Lepisosteus oculatus: one gene and its partner. The protein of the gene in region 1 purifies or fractionates together with the protein of each later gene. This does not show direct contact. Links are inferred from orthologs where the notes say so. Each region holds a gene or a part of one and is shown in the gene's direction. Other genes may lie near its edges.

Region 1 (7,491 bases):
ACCTCTACTGAGCTGGACTGTGTTTTTACCCTGATCTCACTGGGCTCTACTGAGCTGTACTGGGCTTTTACCCTGATCTCACTGGGCTCTACTGCGCTGTACTGTGTTTTTACCCCGATCTCACTGGGCTCTACTGAGCTGTACTGTGCTTTTACCCCGATCTCACTGGGCTCTACTGAGCTGTACTGTGTTTTTACCCCGATCTCACTGGGCTCTACTGCGCTGTACTGTGTTTTTACCCCGATCTCACTGGGCTCTACTGAGCTGTACTGTGTTTTTACCCCGATCTCACTGGGCTCTACTGAGCTGTACTGTATTTTTACCCCGATCTCACTGGGCTCTACTGAGCTGTACTGGGCTTTTACCCTGATCTCACTGGGCTCTACTGAGCTGGACTGTGTTTTTACCCTGATCTCACTGGGCTCTACTGAGCTGTACTGTGTTTTTACCCCGATCTCACTGGGCTCTACTGCGCTGGACTGTGTTTTTACCCTGATCTCACTGGGCTCTACTGCGCTGGACTGTGCTTTTACCCCGATCTCACTGGGCTCTACTGCGCTGGACTGTGTTTTTACCCTGATCTCACTGGGCTCTACTGCGCTGGACTGTGCTTTTACCCCGATCTCACTGGGCTCTACTGCGCTGGACTGTGTTTTTACCCTGATCTCACTGGGCTCTACTGCGCTGGACTGTGCTTTTACCCCGATCTCACTGGGCTCTACTGAGCTGTACTGTGTTTTTACCCCGATCTCACTGGGCTTTACTGCGCTGTACTGTGTTTTTACCCCGATCTCACTGGGCTCTACTGAGCTGGACTGTGTTTTTACCCCGATCTCACTGGGCTCTACTGAGCTGTACTGGGCTTTTACCCCGATCTCACTGGGCTCTACTGCGCTGTACTGTGTTTTTACCCCGATCTCACTGGGCTCTACTGCGCTGTACTGTGTTTTTACCCCGATCTCACTGGGCTCTACTGAGCTGGACTGTGTTTTTACCCCGATCTCACTGGGCTCTACTGAGCTGTACTGTGTTTTTACCCCGATCTCACTGGGCTCTACTGCGCTGTACTGTGTTTTTACCCCGATCTCACTGGGCTCTACTGCGCTGTACTGTGTTTTTACCCCGATCTCACTGGGCTCTACTGCGCTGTACTGTGTTTTTACATCTATGCATCTCTGACATAAAAATTTGGATGACTCAAAACTTCCTTCATCTTAACTGTGACAAGACTGAAGTCATGCTTATTGGTACCCCCCATCAACTTCGTAAAGCCAGTCCTGTAACCCTGTCTGTAGATGGCTCTGTACTTGAGCTCCAATCAAAATTGAAAAACCTTGGGGTTATATTCGATTCTGGCTTAACATTCGACCCACATGTACAGCATACTGTCAAAACATCTTTTTTTCACCTTAGAAATATCGCAAGACTACGCCCTATGCTATCATTAACTGTGGCTGAAAAGCTGATCAACATATTTGTATTCTCTCGAATTGACTACTGCAATGCTCTGCTCCCTGGGGTATCTAAATCTACTCTGAACAAGCTGCAGTATGTCCAAAATTCAGCAGCCAGAATCCTGACCAGATCTAGTGCAAGTGTTCACATTACTCCTATCCTGGAGTCCTTGCACTGGCTTCCGGTCAAATTCCGCGTAGACTTTAAAATCCTCATGCTCACCTACAAGGCTTTACATGGCTTGGCACCTCAATACCTGTCTGAACTTTTATCGCCCTACTACCAAGCTCTGGAACTCCTTGCCCAAGGATATTAGAGAGTCACCTTCTCTAAACTCCTTCAAATCCAGACTCAAAACCCTCCTTTTCAGAAAAGCCTTTACTTAACTGGTTCCATTCTTCACCCCTCTGCTCTTCTTAATACCATCTTCCACGGTCTCCTCTATTGTTATTGTTGTATTGCTGTAATTATAATTGTGTCCTGTCTTGTGAAATTTTCTTATTTATTGTTGTAGTCTTCTTATTTATTGTTATTGTCATCCTGTAAAGCGCTTTGAGAAGCCACCTTTAAAGGCGCTATATAAAATAAAGTTTATTATTATTATTATTACCCCGATCTCACTGGGCTCTACTGAGCTGTACTGGGCTTTTACCCTGATCTCACTGGGCTTTACTGCGCTGTACTGTTTTTGCCCTGATCTCACTGGGCTCTACTGAGCTGTACTGTGTTTTTACCCTGATCTCACTGGGCTTTACTGAGCTGTACTGGGCTTTTACCCTGATCTCACTGGGCTTTACTGCGCTGTACTGTTTTTACCCTGATCTCACTGGGCTCTACTGAGCTGTACTGTGTTTTTACCCCGATCTCACTGGGCTCTACTGCGCTGTACTGTGTTTTTACCCCGATCTCACTGGGCTCTACTGAGCTGTACTGGGCTTTTACCCTGATCTCACTGGGCTTTACTGCGCTGTACTGTGTTTTTACCCCGATCTCACTGGGCTCTACTGAGCTGTACTGGGCTTTTACCCTGATCTCACTGGGCTTTACTGCGCTGTACTGTTTTTGCCCTGATCTCACTGGGCTCTACTGAGCTGTACTGTGTTTTTACCCTGATCTCACTAGGCTTTACTGAGCTGTACTGGGCTTTTACCCTGATCTCACTGGGCTTTACTGCGCTGTACTGTTTTTACCCTGATCTCACTGGGCTCTACTGAGCTGTACTGTGTTTTTACCCCGATCTCACTGGGCTCTACTGCGCTGTACTGTGTTTTTACCCCGATCTCACTGGGCTCTACTGCACTATACTGTGTTTTTACCCCGATCTCACTGGGCTCTACTGAGCTGTACTGGGCTTTTACTCTGATCTCACTGGGCTCTACTGCGCCTTTACCCTGATCTCACTGGGCTTTACTGCACTATACTGTGTTTTTACCCTGATCTCACTGGACTTTACATGATTTACACTATTTGTACCGTGCTTTATGATATCACTTGTAGTAATATGCGCACTTATTAATCAGATTGCAGAAGGTTTAATTCATCTCCACGACATATCCCCAGAACATTATTGTTGGTGCTGTGAATTTTCATTATTATAACGCATGAATCTTGCAGTGGGAGTGGCTGATTAAAAAAATTGCAATCAACATCATACACATGTTTGACGACCCATATAAAACATTATTTTCTCTGTCTGCTGTTAAACCGCTATATGACGTCATATTCGTCGGTCCCCACCAGTCCTTAGGACCCGCCCCTCAGCTCGGCTCCCTGAAGACGATTGGCTGTTGCCGAGCCACGGCAGAAGCAGAAACGATTGGCTGTTCCCTGGAAGCAGAAGCCCACTGATTGGTCTAGTTACCAGTCAATCAACCAGAAGCTGATCTCTTACTCGCAACAGACCCGCCTTCCGGAGGATTTAAATCCTTTAAAGAAAATCCCGCCGGTATGGATGGCTATGCATTTCTATCCACGGTGGTGACAATCTTTATTTTTAAGACCCGATGCACGTTTAAATAAAGCTAAATTCCTGTTTTAACTCTGCTGCGTGTTTCCTGCATTTGAGATTTTTTTTTGCTCTTGAAAATAACAGTTACTCTTGATAGTAAGAACAATAAGACGCGCAGCTGGGGGTCAGAAAACACAGTCTGGCGCAATTATTCGGCGTTTTCAAAACATGAGAGGTTTTAGTTTGCCGAATGAAACCAAACTGCACGGACGTTTCTGTCTCCTGCCTGATTTGTTCGGAACACGAGCCGAGCGGCGATGCAGAGCCCGAAACTGGTCTCCCCCTGCAGGCGCGGAGATTTACAGTCTCTGCAGCTGAGTGACTCACCAGGGGCGGACAGGAAGCCGGTGGGCGGTGCCCGGCGGTGACTGGCGGCCCCCCTGTCCAATCGCTGTGCCGCTTTATCCGAATGCGCCATGGATGTGGGCGGGGCCGGAGGCAGCCAGCACGGTGGGCTGGGACAAGGGGTTTGACCAATGGGAGGTCTGCGCTGGCGGAAGAGGGGCCGCCCCGTGGGCGTGGCCCAAGCGCCGTGGCCCAATCAGGGCGCCGGGCCTGGGTTTTGGAGCCGGCGGGGGGGCGGGACCAGAAGGTGCGTGTGGGGCCGCGGAGCAGCAGACGGAGACTCGAAATGGCGGAGAACGCAAGCATGGAGGTGAGCGGCCTGGCGGCGTGTGCGGGCCGGGCAGGGGGCCGAGCCGCGGCGGGCAGCAGGGGCTGCGCCGCGGGCCGGGGACCCGGGCGAAGAGGGGCTGGGCCGGGCTGGTCCGGGTCGGGGGGGATCGGGGAGCGGAGGCGGACGGGGCGCCAAGCGCGTCTCTTTGTTGGGTCGCTTTTCGTGCCGGAGCGGCCGCGTCCATTTTAGCTCGGTTCCCCCAAGGGTTCTGGCGGGGCGCAGCGGGCGGGGATCGGGGACGTCGGTCCGGTCCCGGTGCCGCTCGCAGTGGGCTCGGCTGGAGCAGGGGGGGCCGGACCCCCGAGCCCCTGAAATCTGCTCCCGAGCCCGGCGTGGGGCGCGTCGTGACGGGTCTCGCCCGGGGCTTGAGCCCGAGTCCGTGGGGAGGAGGAGTGGGGTGGTGAATTCCGACACGCGTGGGGAAGCTCGTGTGTCCCTGCCACCATAGGTCCAGGCGGGCGCCTCGTGGCGTGGGGGCGCTTTGTGTCCACTGAGCCTGTGGTGGCGCACGTGGGTCCGTGTCCTTTATTCCCCGTGGCGGTTCGGGCCCTCGTGCTGTCGGGGAAGCAGGGTGGCGTGTTCCGGGCCGGCGCGTACCCACGCCATGAGTGGGTTGCCGGCGCCAGCCGGTCACGCACAAAGACGACGAGGAGGGGGGGGGTGGGACGCGCGCACGAGGCGGCGAGCTCACGTGTCACCAGTCGCTGTTACCGGCGGGCACGAGGCCTCCCACGTTGTGGGTGCGCGCGCTTGGTGGTGGTGGGGGGGGTCACTGGTGTTCGTGGGCGTGAGATGAGATTGATCGCGTGGAGCTGTAGGGTGCCCACGTGTGCCCCCCCACTCATCCGTGCGGGGTAAGGGCTGATCGGGAAGGGGGCGCAGGTCCGCTGTGTGACCAGTGGGGGCGCTGCTGGGGTCCTGGGGGGAGTGTGTCACCTGTGTGCAGCACAACTCATGCCCACCCCTCTCTCCTCCTCCTGTCTCTCTCTCCCCCCTTTCCTTCTCCTCCTGTCTCTCTCTCTCTCCCCCCTTTCCTTCTCCTCCTGTCTCTCTCTCTCTCCCCCCTTTCCTTCTCCTCCTGTCTCTCTCTCTCTCCCCCCTTTCCTTCTCCTCCTGTCTCTCTCTCTCTCTCCCCCCTTTCCTTCTCCTCCTCCTCCTGTCTCTCTCTCTCTCTCCCCCCTTTCCTTCTCCTCCTCCTCCTGTCTCTCTCTCTCTCTCTCCCCTTTCCTTCTCCTCCTCCTCCTGTCTCTCTCTCTCTCTCTCTCTCTCTTTCCTTCTCCTCCTCCTCCTGTCTCTCTCTCTCTCTCTCTCTCTCCTTTCCTTCTCCTCCTCCTCCTGTCTCTCTCTCTCTCTCTCTCTCCCTTTCCTTCTCCTCCTCCTCCTGTCTCTCTCTCTCTCTCTCCCTTTCCTTCTCCTCCTCCTCCTGTCTCTCTCTCTCTCTCTCTCTCTCTCTCCCTTTCCTTCTCCTCCTCCTCCTGTCTCTCTCTCTCTCTCTCTCCCCTTTCCTTCTCCTCCTCCTCCTGTCTCTCTCTCTCTCTCTCTCCCCCTTTCCTTCTCCTCCTCCTCCTGTCTCTCTCTCTCTCCCCTTTCCTTCTCCTCCTCCTCCTGTCTCTCTCTCTCTCTCTCTCCCCCCTTTCCTTCTCCTCCTCCTCCTGTCTCTCTCTCTCTCTCTCCCCCCTTTCCTTCTCCTCCTCCTCCTGTCTCTCTCTCTCTCTCTCTCCCCCTTTCCTTCTCCTCCTCCTGTCTCTCTCTCTCTCTCTCTCCCCTTTCCTTCTCCTCCTCCTGTCTCTCTCTCTCTCTCTCTCCCCTTTCCTTCTCCTCCTCCTGTCTCTCTCTCTCTCTCTCCCCTTTCCTTCTCCTCCTCCTGTCTCTCTCTCTCTCTCTCTCTCCCCTTTCCTTCTCCTCCTCCTGTCTCTCTCTCTCTCTCTCTCTCTCTCCCCTTTCCTTCTCCTCCTCCTGTCTCTCTCTCTCTCTCTCTCTCTCCCCTTTCCTTCTCCTCCTCCTGTCTCTCTCTCTCTCTCTCCCCTTTCCTTCTCCTCCTCCTGTCTCTCTCTCTCTCTCTCCCCTTTCCTTCTCCTCCTCCTGTCTCTCTCTCTCTCTCTCCCCTTTCCTTCTCCTCCTCCTGTCTCTCTCTCTCTCTCTCCCCTTTCCTTCTCCTCCTCCTGTCTCTCTCTCTCTCTCTCCCCTTTCCTTCTCCTCCTCCTGTCTCTCTCTCTCTCTCTCTCTCCCCTTTCCTTCTCCTCCTCCTGTCTCTCTCTCTCTCTCTCTCTCCCCTTTCCTTCTCCTCCTCCTGTCTCTCTCTCTCTCTCTCTCCCTTTCCTTCTCCTCCTCCTGTCTCTCTCTCTCTCTCTCCCCTTTCCTTCTCCTCCTCCTGTCTCTCTCTCTCTCTCTCCCCTTTCCTTCTCCTCCTCCTGTCTCTCTCTCTCTCTCTCTCTCCCCTTTCCTTCTCCTCCTCCTGTCTCTCTCTCTCTCTCTCTCCCCTTTCCTTCTCCTCCTCCTGTCTCTCTCTCTCTCTCTCTCTCCCTTTCCTTCTCCTCCTCCTGTCTCTCTCTCTCTCTCTCTCTCTCTCTCCTTTCCTTCTCCTCCTCCTGTCTCTCTCTCTCCGTGTCCCTGTGTGTCCAGGTGTCCCAGGGGGAGAGCTCAGGAAAGCCCTCGGCGGAGGACATGACCTCGAAGGACTACTACTTCGACTCCTACGCGCACTTCGGCATCCATGAGGTAGGCCCCACGGCCCGGTCCCCTCGGACCCGCGCCAGCGGGAGACAGGCGGGGCTAGGCTCTGCTCGCGGGCGTGAGAGACGCAGCCGCCGGGGCTTCTGAGGGGAGACCTCGGGGGGCCGCGGAGAGCTGTGTCCGCGGTCCGCCAGGTGATCTCCTCGGGGACTGGCACTGCGCTCCCGTCGGGACCCCAGATCGGCCGTAAACGGCCTGGGCAGCAGAGAGACGACACAGGTGTGTCCCGTCTCATCCTGCTGGCTGCAGCACTGGTACAGTCCACGAGCTGTTGGACAGACATCACACACAGCGCTGAGAGACAGGCTCACTGTGTTCCTCAGGCTGGGACAGGAGATCACACACTGTATTATTATTATTGAGAGACGGGCTCACTGTCTGTTCCTCAGGCTGGGACAGGAGATCACACACTGTATTATTATTACTGAGAGACAGGCTCACTGTCTGTTCCTCAGGCTGGGACAGGAGATCACACACTGTATTATTATTATTGAGAGACAGGCTCACTGTCTGTTCCTCAGGCTGGGACAGGAGATCACACACTGTATTATTATTATTGAGAGACAGGCTCACTGTCTGTTCCTCAGGCTGGGACAGGAGATCACACACTGTATTATTA
Region 2 (8,451 bases), on another chromosome or scaffold:
AAAAAAGAAACAAAAAGGAAGTACAGGAGTCTGGAAAAGGCCGCCCAGCCACGCCGCTGAAGCAGAGTCCCCGAGATCCTTCAAGAATTGGAAGAAATCCGTGGATCAATCAGCTACTGGGCATCCTGGGTAGCTGAAGGGTCTCCTTTCCTTTTCACCCCTTTAGGTTAGTCCTGCTGACTTTTTATGACCAGAAAAGGTTAGAAAACGTAGACAACTAAAACCTTTTGGGAACCTTGTTTTATTCCACGCACATTCAGTCATGTAAAAAAAGTCAGAAATTGATGCCTGCTGGAAATTGAGACAGAGGCAGATCCGGCTTCCACTGTTCTGTCTTGGAATCTCTAACAGCAAAAGCATCGCTGCGTGTCTGCAAAGTCACTTCTACGGTGCAATAACTTAGGGCTCAACAGCAAAAGCAATTTCATATTGGGGTAAAAGGAGCAGAGAAAAAAACAACATAATACATACATCATCTCTAAAATAACGGAGTTGATTTTTTAACACTTTATTGTTTGATGGTTCATAGGAGTATCTCAAATTCTGACTTTTTAAAACAACTGTTTTCCTTGAATTTGCTAAATTGACCATTCCTTTCAAATAAGCCATTTTAAGAAGTATAACTGTAACTTTATCTAATTTAGGCAGAAAGGAAATCTTATCAACATGCTGTACATCCTTAAAGACTTTCTCAACTTGACTTGCTACAAAAAAAATCTTTCAGTTTAAGAACAAACTGCAATTTGAGGTTCGCAGCACTTGTTTTGCAATATTGGTTGCAAGTATGTATCACACAGATTCCTTCATGAATAGTGCTGCTGGAGTTAGCGCCTACTTTCAAAACTGTTCTCCTTCAGCTGGTCTGAAAAGGGATACTTTCTGCATCGGCCATTCATCAAGCTTTAGAAGTTGGGAAGAAACCCCGAGGAGAACATTCAAACTCCACACAGAAGGTACGACAGTCTGACACTGAACCAAAGTCCCAGGTGGCGTCACGTGGTCACGCGACTGTGCTGCCTGTACTTACAGCAGTTTATCATACTTTTCCTCTTCCTTTAAGGGAGAGATAGATGTGGAATTCTTGTGCAATGATGAAAATGTGCAAAAAAATGTCTACTTACTCTCATCAGAATTATTTTTCTCTTAATTTTTTAGCAACTCGTCATTTTATGTTTTTTTTTTTTTAAATGTCACTTGCCAAACTTCACTGCTGTCATCTAGAAGCTCAGAGGTTCAGGAGCTGCACCTCTGATACCAGAACTGTGTAGCCTTGCCAGACTATTGATATGACCTCATTCTGCACTGGACGCATAATGACTGGACATACAGGTAGGACTGAAATTTCTAAATATGGAAAACATATACTGTTCCTGGTTGCACAGTGAAAGCTTGATCTGGCATCTTTAAAAATAAAGTTTTCATTACATTCGATTCCCTAGAATTAGTTTTTGATATGAGGTAAAGATGAGTACAGGAGTAGGTTAGGTGCTTTCTGTGCAGCAGCAACTAATAAGGAGGCTCCGTTTGTGGGACCAAAGTTACTTAACCGGCAAGTATAGCTATACCCTTTAGAAGTGCAATCGTGCATTTTTAAAAATAATAGTTGTACATACCAGAAGAATCCGAGGGCTGTGCATACACATGGCAGCGCTACTAAAAACTGCCTCACTTCACACTGGCTGATAACGTACTGCTATAATGAGAAGAGGAGACAGTGTAAACGGCTGCACTCGGACTCACCCGGAGGGATGGTGAATCCGGGAGGCAGCTGGATGGTGGTCTGCTGGGGCGGTCTGACGATCAGCTGCGGTGCCACTATCCTCTGGGTCGCGCCCACCCCCGGGCGGAGGGGCTGGGGCTGCGTGGACGCGGACATCCCGGCGGACGGCGACGGGGTCCCAGGTCTCACCACGCCGACGGTAGTGATGTTGACAGCGGGCTTGGCCGCGGGGCTGCTGGCGGCCGGCGCCGAGGTGGCCGCCGAGCTCGGCGGCTGACTCGCCGGCGGGTTGACAGCCGGTGCGGGAGAGCTGACGGGGTTTGCTAGGGAACTGACCACGCAAGGCTGGGTCGGCAGGATGATTTTAGACGGCGCAGGGGAGTCCGCCGGCGGGTCGCTGCCATCCCCGCCCTTGCGGTGGTTCGCCAGCTGGGCTACGGCCGCGGCCGGGGGACCTGTCCGTGCGACCTGCTGCACCAGCGCCGGCGCCCCGTTCCCATTCTGCGCCACGCTGGCCGCGAGGTGACCCGGGGGTCTCTGCAGGGCAATCGTGAGGGTGCCCGAGCCGTCCGGGGCCACGCCGGGCTGGGCAGCGCTGAAGGCGGGCGCGCTCGCACAGGGCGCCCCGGCCAAGCCGCTGCTGGCGGCGCCGGTCGGGCTGGGGACGGCACTGTTCACCACGTTATTAACGAGAGTCACCGCGCCGGCAGCGGCGGGGAAGCCGACGGCGGCAGGAGCGGCGGGGTTGACCGGAGAGTTCACTGCAACTCCGCCGTTCCCGTTCAAACTCTGTATCCCTGCGGGAGCAGTCCTGATGGTCGAGGTGAGGTGGTTCTTCAGGGGGTCCGCCGCCGTCGCTGCCCCTCCCGAGCCCAGGACGGTGCCCCGGCTGCCAGGGCTGATGCTGACCAGCGGAGGTGGTAAAGTTACCAGACCAGGTGCAGACACTGTTGTGATATTAGATGCTCCATGTGATGGCAACCCGCTACTACTAGCATTTACCCCGGTCCCAGAAGTGATGGAAGCTTCTTCGAAGGGCGGAATGGAACTGAGCGAAGACGGTATCACAGTTTTCCCGGAGCTAAGTGCTTTACAGTTGGGCTCCTGGTTTACCCCAGCTTTATGTTGCCCTTGTTGTTGTTGCTGCTGCTCTAGTATAGTGTCCACTTGGGCAGGTAGCATTCTTCCTAAGTGGTGATTAGCGGCCCCCGTCACGCCAGCGCTCCTGGTTTCGGTGTGGGGGGCTGCTGGGTTGCTTTGGCCGGCCAGCTGCGACTCCAGGGAGCCCACCAGATCGCTAACGGCTTTTTCATCCACCTCGGAGAAGAGCATATCTTCCAGAGGGTCGGAGGCACCCGCCATCTTTGATCTCAGATCGCTGTCCAAATTTTGGTGTAGTCACTACGCAGGCGTGTTGCTGGGCATTGTGGGAACGGTGCGTGACGTCAGAGCGCCAAAATTCATTCGCTGTGTCCGAGTCCGATTCATTTCGCAGGAAACAGAGTTCAAATGCTGGTGTCTAGTGAGAGCAGCTGCAGGCTGGAACGGGGTTATCTTTTTGCAAAGCACCCAAATATGAAATTTCCGCCCGCTTGAGCTGGTGTCGATTGCAGTGATAAAGATAGAAGAAGCCAGGAGGCCGTTCTGACTAGCTTTTTCGATATGTGCTAATTAATCTGAGGGTCTGGTCAACATGGTTGGATAGCTCGTTCCAAACTCCCACAATCCTTTTGTGTTAATATGTGCCTCCTTGGTCTCAGTGTTAAATGCACTTCCCTGTAGTTTCCACTCGTAACCTCACTTGATTTTGAGGAAGTCTACTGGGGTTGACCTTGTCGATGTCTTTGAGGATTTTGAATAGTTCAGTCAATTTCTTTGTAGTCCTGTGTTTGCAACTAAAATGAATTATGTCATTCTGTCAGCATAAACCAGAGGTTTTGCTCTTTCTAATAGCCCGCCTTTCATTGATTGTCACTTTAAAGACTCTCGATTAAAACATAAGGTCAAAGTAAAGTATGCATATTGAAAATAATGTCTGAGTAGTAATTAACATTAGAACTGCAGGTCACCAGCTGGCAGCGTAGAGGTGTTTCAGTTTCACTTGGTTGTGTTCGGCGGCCCAGTGGTCTCACCACCCCTGGCTCAAAACCACTGCTACCAAGAGCAATTTATTTAAACCACTAAGGAAAAAATATTGCATATCTGTATTGTATGTTACTTTCTTAAATAATAATACACAAATTACCTTCCTAGTAATTTAGATAAAACGTTTCACAGTTTGAAAAAAAAGATTTTCAAACCTTTTTCTTGGTTACTAAATATTATATTAGAATTTACATACAGCATTGTATACTATTTTCAGAATTCAAAGCAATATTTTCAGATCTGCAACTACAGACTAATGTATACAGAAAGCACAGCAAGCCGTAAGGTAAATGTCTGAATGTCTGACCAAATCTTCCAATGATTAGATACCCTTGATAATACCCTCTCAACTGTGATAAGCCGTGATTGATAGTGTGCTGCATGTCTTTATTTTATATTCTATTTATGTGATCAATCATTTGCACTTAACCCATGCTCTCTAATGTATCCTACACATACCTTGAAATATATCCCAGACTCTTGTAAACTAAGTATTCATCTATATATGTGCTGTTACTTTAGATAATTATTCAGCAATTTCATCAGAATAATTTAACTCTGATCATATTTAATTTTAGATGTGTTAATACATTTTGTTAGAGCTCTTCCTAAATGCTCATTTGCCTCTGCTCTGGGATGTTTATTTTCTATTGGATATTGCATTTTATTTTGTAACAGTATTATTTTTTCTAAACAATTAGCAGCTGTGTGATAAATGAACAAGCGAAGCAAGAAAAAAAACGTATATGATTGAGGATTGTGATTAAAGTAATCAAATTTGCTATGAGTGAAAACTGTATTTTGCCAATAAAAGTAGAATTTTTGTCAGCCTGTTCAGTTTCCGTTTTCCCTAAACTATTCATTAACACATGGGTTTAAAATATATTGTTCTGTATAACCAGCTCAGTTCAGTCATATAATAAACCACAATATCATTTTGTGTACAAGAAATCAAACATTATACGGACATAAAACACTCTTGCTTGTTCTATTTTTTACGATATAGTAGTTTTGCATTGTCTTCTGAATCAATGCCTAATTCCCAAAGACCCTTTTCTGTAATTCCTCTTAGAAGGTAGTGTTTCTGATCGTCTCAGTACTGTGAGGGGCCAAACGTTTAGAAGAGAAGACAACTGCGGGTGCATTTTATTTACGCATACGTCAAATTCAGTTTTCTGCTGTTACCCTGGCGCTTAAAACGTGAAGTTTTATTTATAAATCAGCCACTAACTCCCACTCGCCAGCTGCAGCCATTAGGTCCATGTGTTCAGACTGAGTTCTCGTCACCTTTGGAGCATCCCCTTGAAAACTCGCGAGAGCGCCATTTTTTTAACAACTTCCGCTTGCGCCCCTCGGGCAGTTTTAGTGCGAAGGAGAAAAAAAATGAAGTCGGCCATGTTGGCGTAGCACCTCCGAGAGGAAAGGGGGAGAGCCGAGAAGAAAGAACAGAGTGCGAGAAGAGGGAGCGAGGAGTGAGCCCGGGAGCCGCGATCCGTAATCCACTTCCATCCGCCGTCGCAGGAGCCGCACCGACCCGGGAGACGCCATGAGCGGGGGGACCCCTTACATCGGCAGCAAGATCAGCCTCATCTCGAAGGCCGAGATCCGCTACGAGGGGATCTTGTACACGATCGACACCGAGAACTCCACCGTCGCGCTCGCCAAAGGTGCCCGGGGGAGGGGAGCGAGGCGGGGGTCATGGGGGAGGAACGGGGAGCCGCCGGCCGCAGCCGCACCGACGGGGCTCCGGGAATAGCAACGAAACCCCGGCTGGTAGCACAATTGGTAGCGGAGGAGGAGGAGGAGGAGGAGGGGGGGGAGCGAAGCACATTTTTATTCGATGTGTTGTTGGCACTCGTTGTTCAAAAAAAATAATATATATATATATTAAGCGACCGACGGCCTCGAAACCTGCGGGAAAAGTTCGCTCTAGGTCTGCGAAAATTGCCGACAGGCTCTTCGTAGTCGTAGCTGCTATTTCGTTCGGTGGTTGTTGTTTTTTGTTAACGGATCAGATCCGGGCGGAGAGGGGGGTGGAAATTGAACAAATAGCTGATCTGGTGATGGTGGTGGTGGCGGCGGGGGGGTTAACCGTGGGCAGGTGGACTGTAGGGGAACAACAAAAGGGGGACGGGGGGGGAGGGAGGTCGTGTAATTCAAGAAACAGCCAGCGCCGGTCAGGGGTGAGGTGGTTTGTAAACAAGTCCCCTTCGGCCTTTTGTTTATAAAAGAAGTGAGCAGCCATGCTCCAGCGCCGCGCCGGGTGCGTTTGCAGGGCCTGCACCCCGGCTTTTACGGGTCTGGCGGAGGGGAGGCGCTCAGACGGCCTTTCCTTTGTTGACTCGGGCTTTCCGCCTGGATGGGCCGCTCTCGGGTGAGAGGCGGGTAGGCCTCGGCGGCGCAGCCGGCTCGGTGTGAGCACCCGTGTTTCGACGAGGAGCTAAAATGGCGGTAAACGTTTGGGGGGGGTGGCAAAGTTTGCGCTCGGCACCGGCGGGGAGGCTCGGTTCCGTTGTCGGGGGCCCCGGTTTCACACCCGCCCGCCCCGCCGAGCCGGGGCGGTGCAACTCGGCGTCAAGCCTCTGATATTCACTTTCTGCGCCAGCTGGCTCTTGACGTCGGCCTCTTTGTGTGAGCTGGCTGGGCTGAGTCTTCCTTTCACCCCGGTTATAATCCGGGCCCGGAGCTGGGGCAGCTCCAAGTGTGTGGTGGTGTTTTTTTTTTGTCTCCCGTTGCCTTCAGAAGTGCAGGTGAAATCGGAGGCATTGCATTTAGGTTTATGCGGTATCGCTGTACCTGCAACTTGAGTTTTTTTGTTTCCCTTGGCTAGCTGTATCCCGGCGGCCTTCCCAGTTGCGTGGGTTGGCAATAAATAAAATCGGGGGTCCTACCGGTTTCATCCTTTTTCCTGTCTACCAGCAAGTGAACTGGTTTAGAATGGGCTCGGCTGTTTAGTGTAACACCTAAAGGTATAGTTTTAAACACGGCCTAGCCCCAAACCTCACACTAAATTATTCTAAAGAAATGTTTTGCCTTTGTTTACGTTTTCCCAAGCAGAATAAGACGGGGGTTGTGCTGATATTGTAATCGAGGCTGTAAAACTGATGTCACTTGTTGGAACCCGGTCTAGATACACTGTAACAAAGTGCAGTCATGGAGGGCTCTGTTTGTATTTTCTGTTTGAATTCCAGGGCTCTGGCAGGTCTGTACTGAACTGGGCCCTTTAAATCTTGTTCCCAGATCTCAAGCATGCATCGATTGAAAGGAACTTCAGAACACTGATCGCACCCCAAAAAGACCAAGAGTTTGAACTCCCGAGTGATATGTATGGTTTAGAAGGATGTTTTTTTTTAAATAAATTGCAGTTGTCTAGTCACAATTGAGTGTCTTTCTAAATAAAAAATTGTGTGAGATTTATGGTTTTCTAATTGTTTGGTGACAGCCTTTAAAAGTGAAATTTATTATACCCAGGCTGATGTTACAAGTTATTTGTTGCTTATGCATGAGCCACTGCAGTGGCGAATCCAACTCTTTTTTTCTGAAAACCTTGTAGTCAGAATATTATTTCAATCACTTGAAGGCTCTTTGGTTCTCTCTCCATTTCCTGGGAATACAGTTTTTAAAGTCCTGCTTAAGTTAGGACTGACAGTTTAAATGAGGATGTACCTTGATTTCTCCTGGGCTGAGACTTGTGTAAGGTTAGAACCAACGCTTATTTTGTTGCGTCTGGACTCGCATCGTGACCTGGTAGTCATCCATGTAATACAAATTTTGGAAGTGCTCATTAGAACTAAATTAAAGATGGGATCGTTTAAACCTGAACAGGAGACGCCACGTTTTTATTCCAAGGGTTTGTTGATGTCTGCAGAAAGGTGCCCTGCCACATTGCCAAAGCTGATGTCTTGGTGAATTTCAACGACGGGCTGGATGAGATTCTCTGATCACAAAGCTAATAGAGACCAGCTGAGCTGGATAGGTCAGATGGCCGTATCTTCCTTGTGTAACCTTTATGTTGAGCCTGACTCTTAACTGTGTGAGAGCTTGGGATTACAGTTCAGAGGTTTTTAACCCCTGCAGATTCTCCTCCCCTTAGCTGAAGGTTCTCTGATGAAATTCTTGCTCCCTGTGGTGACGCAGAGCTTCTGTAATTATATGAGCCTTCCAAAGGGCTAAATCATGATTTGGCTTCTGGGACATGCCAGGCCGCCTATCTGTTTAGGAAAATCGTGCCCTGAGGAAAGCTTGTTACTCAAGTACCCAAGATGAATGGATTTAGTTTTACATAACTGGAGTTATGTTTTCAGACTGGACTCCCCTAATTCCAAGTTTGTACTGTATTGTTTAGTTGTGTAATGGGAATACTTAAATGCTCACTGGCAAAATTGTAATCTGGTTTCTTCATGAGTGATGCAGGTTTTATGTGCTGTCTGAATTTCTTCAGATAGAAACATGTTTCCTACCACATGGTGAAAAATGAATAATAAACTGCTACCTTGCAAAGAGACGTGATTTGAGTTATCTACAGTTAAAAAGCGTTGGGCACCTCTATAAATGGGAAAAGAAGTTTGAGTAGTGATGGTGCGTCA

Evidence for each region. Proteins that work in one complex are often made in the same cells at the same time.
Region 2: the proteins of prmt1 (region 1) and protein LSM14 homolog A purify together in Homo sapiens (affinity purification with mass spectrometry; 3 studies listed by BioGRID and IntAct, with this or other methods). This does not show direct contact. The link is inferred for Lepisosteus oculatus from reciprocal best matches to the Homo sapiens genes PRMT1 and LSM14A.

Annotation. Positions count from the first base shown.
Region 1 is NC_090702.1:791,839-799,329, forward strand, and holds the start of prmt1 (protein arginine N-methyltransferase 1), read left to right. Parts: upstream 1-4,017; 5' UTR 4,018-4,094; coding exon 4,095-4,118; intron 4,119-6,761; coding exon 6,762-6,857; intron 6,858-7,491. UniProt on the Homo sapiens protein: Arginine methyltransferase that methylates (mono and asymmetric dimethylation) the guanidino nitrogens of arginyl residues present in proteins such as ESR1, histone H2, H3 and H4, FMR1, ILF3, HNRNPA1, HNRNPD, NFATC2IP, SUPT5H, TAF15, EWS, HABP4, SERBP1, RBM15, FOXO1, CHTOP, MAP3K5/ASK1, MICU1 and NPRL2.
Region 2 is NC_090715.1:15,178,204-15,186,654, reverse strand, and holds the start of protein LSM14 homolog A, read left to right. Parts: upstream 1-5,208; 5' UTR 5,209-5,411; coding exon 5,412-5,532; intron 5,533-8,451. Other genes in the region: transcription initiation factor TFIID subunit 4-like, read right to left, coding at 1,741-3,082. UniProt on the Homo sapiens protein: Essential for formation of P-bodies, cytoplasmic structures that provide storage sites for translationally inactive mRNAs and protect them from degradation. Acts as a repressor of mRNA translation. May play a role in mitotic spindle assembly.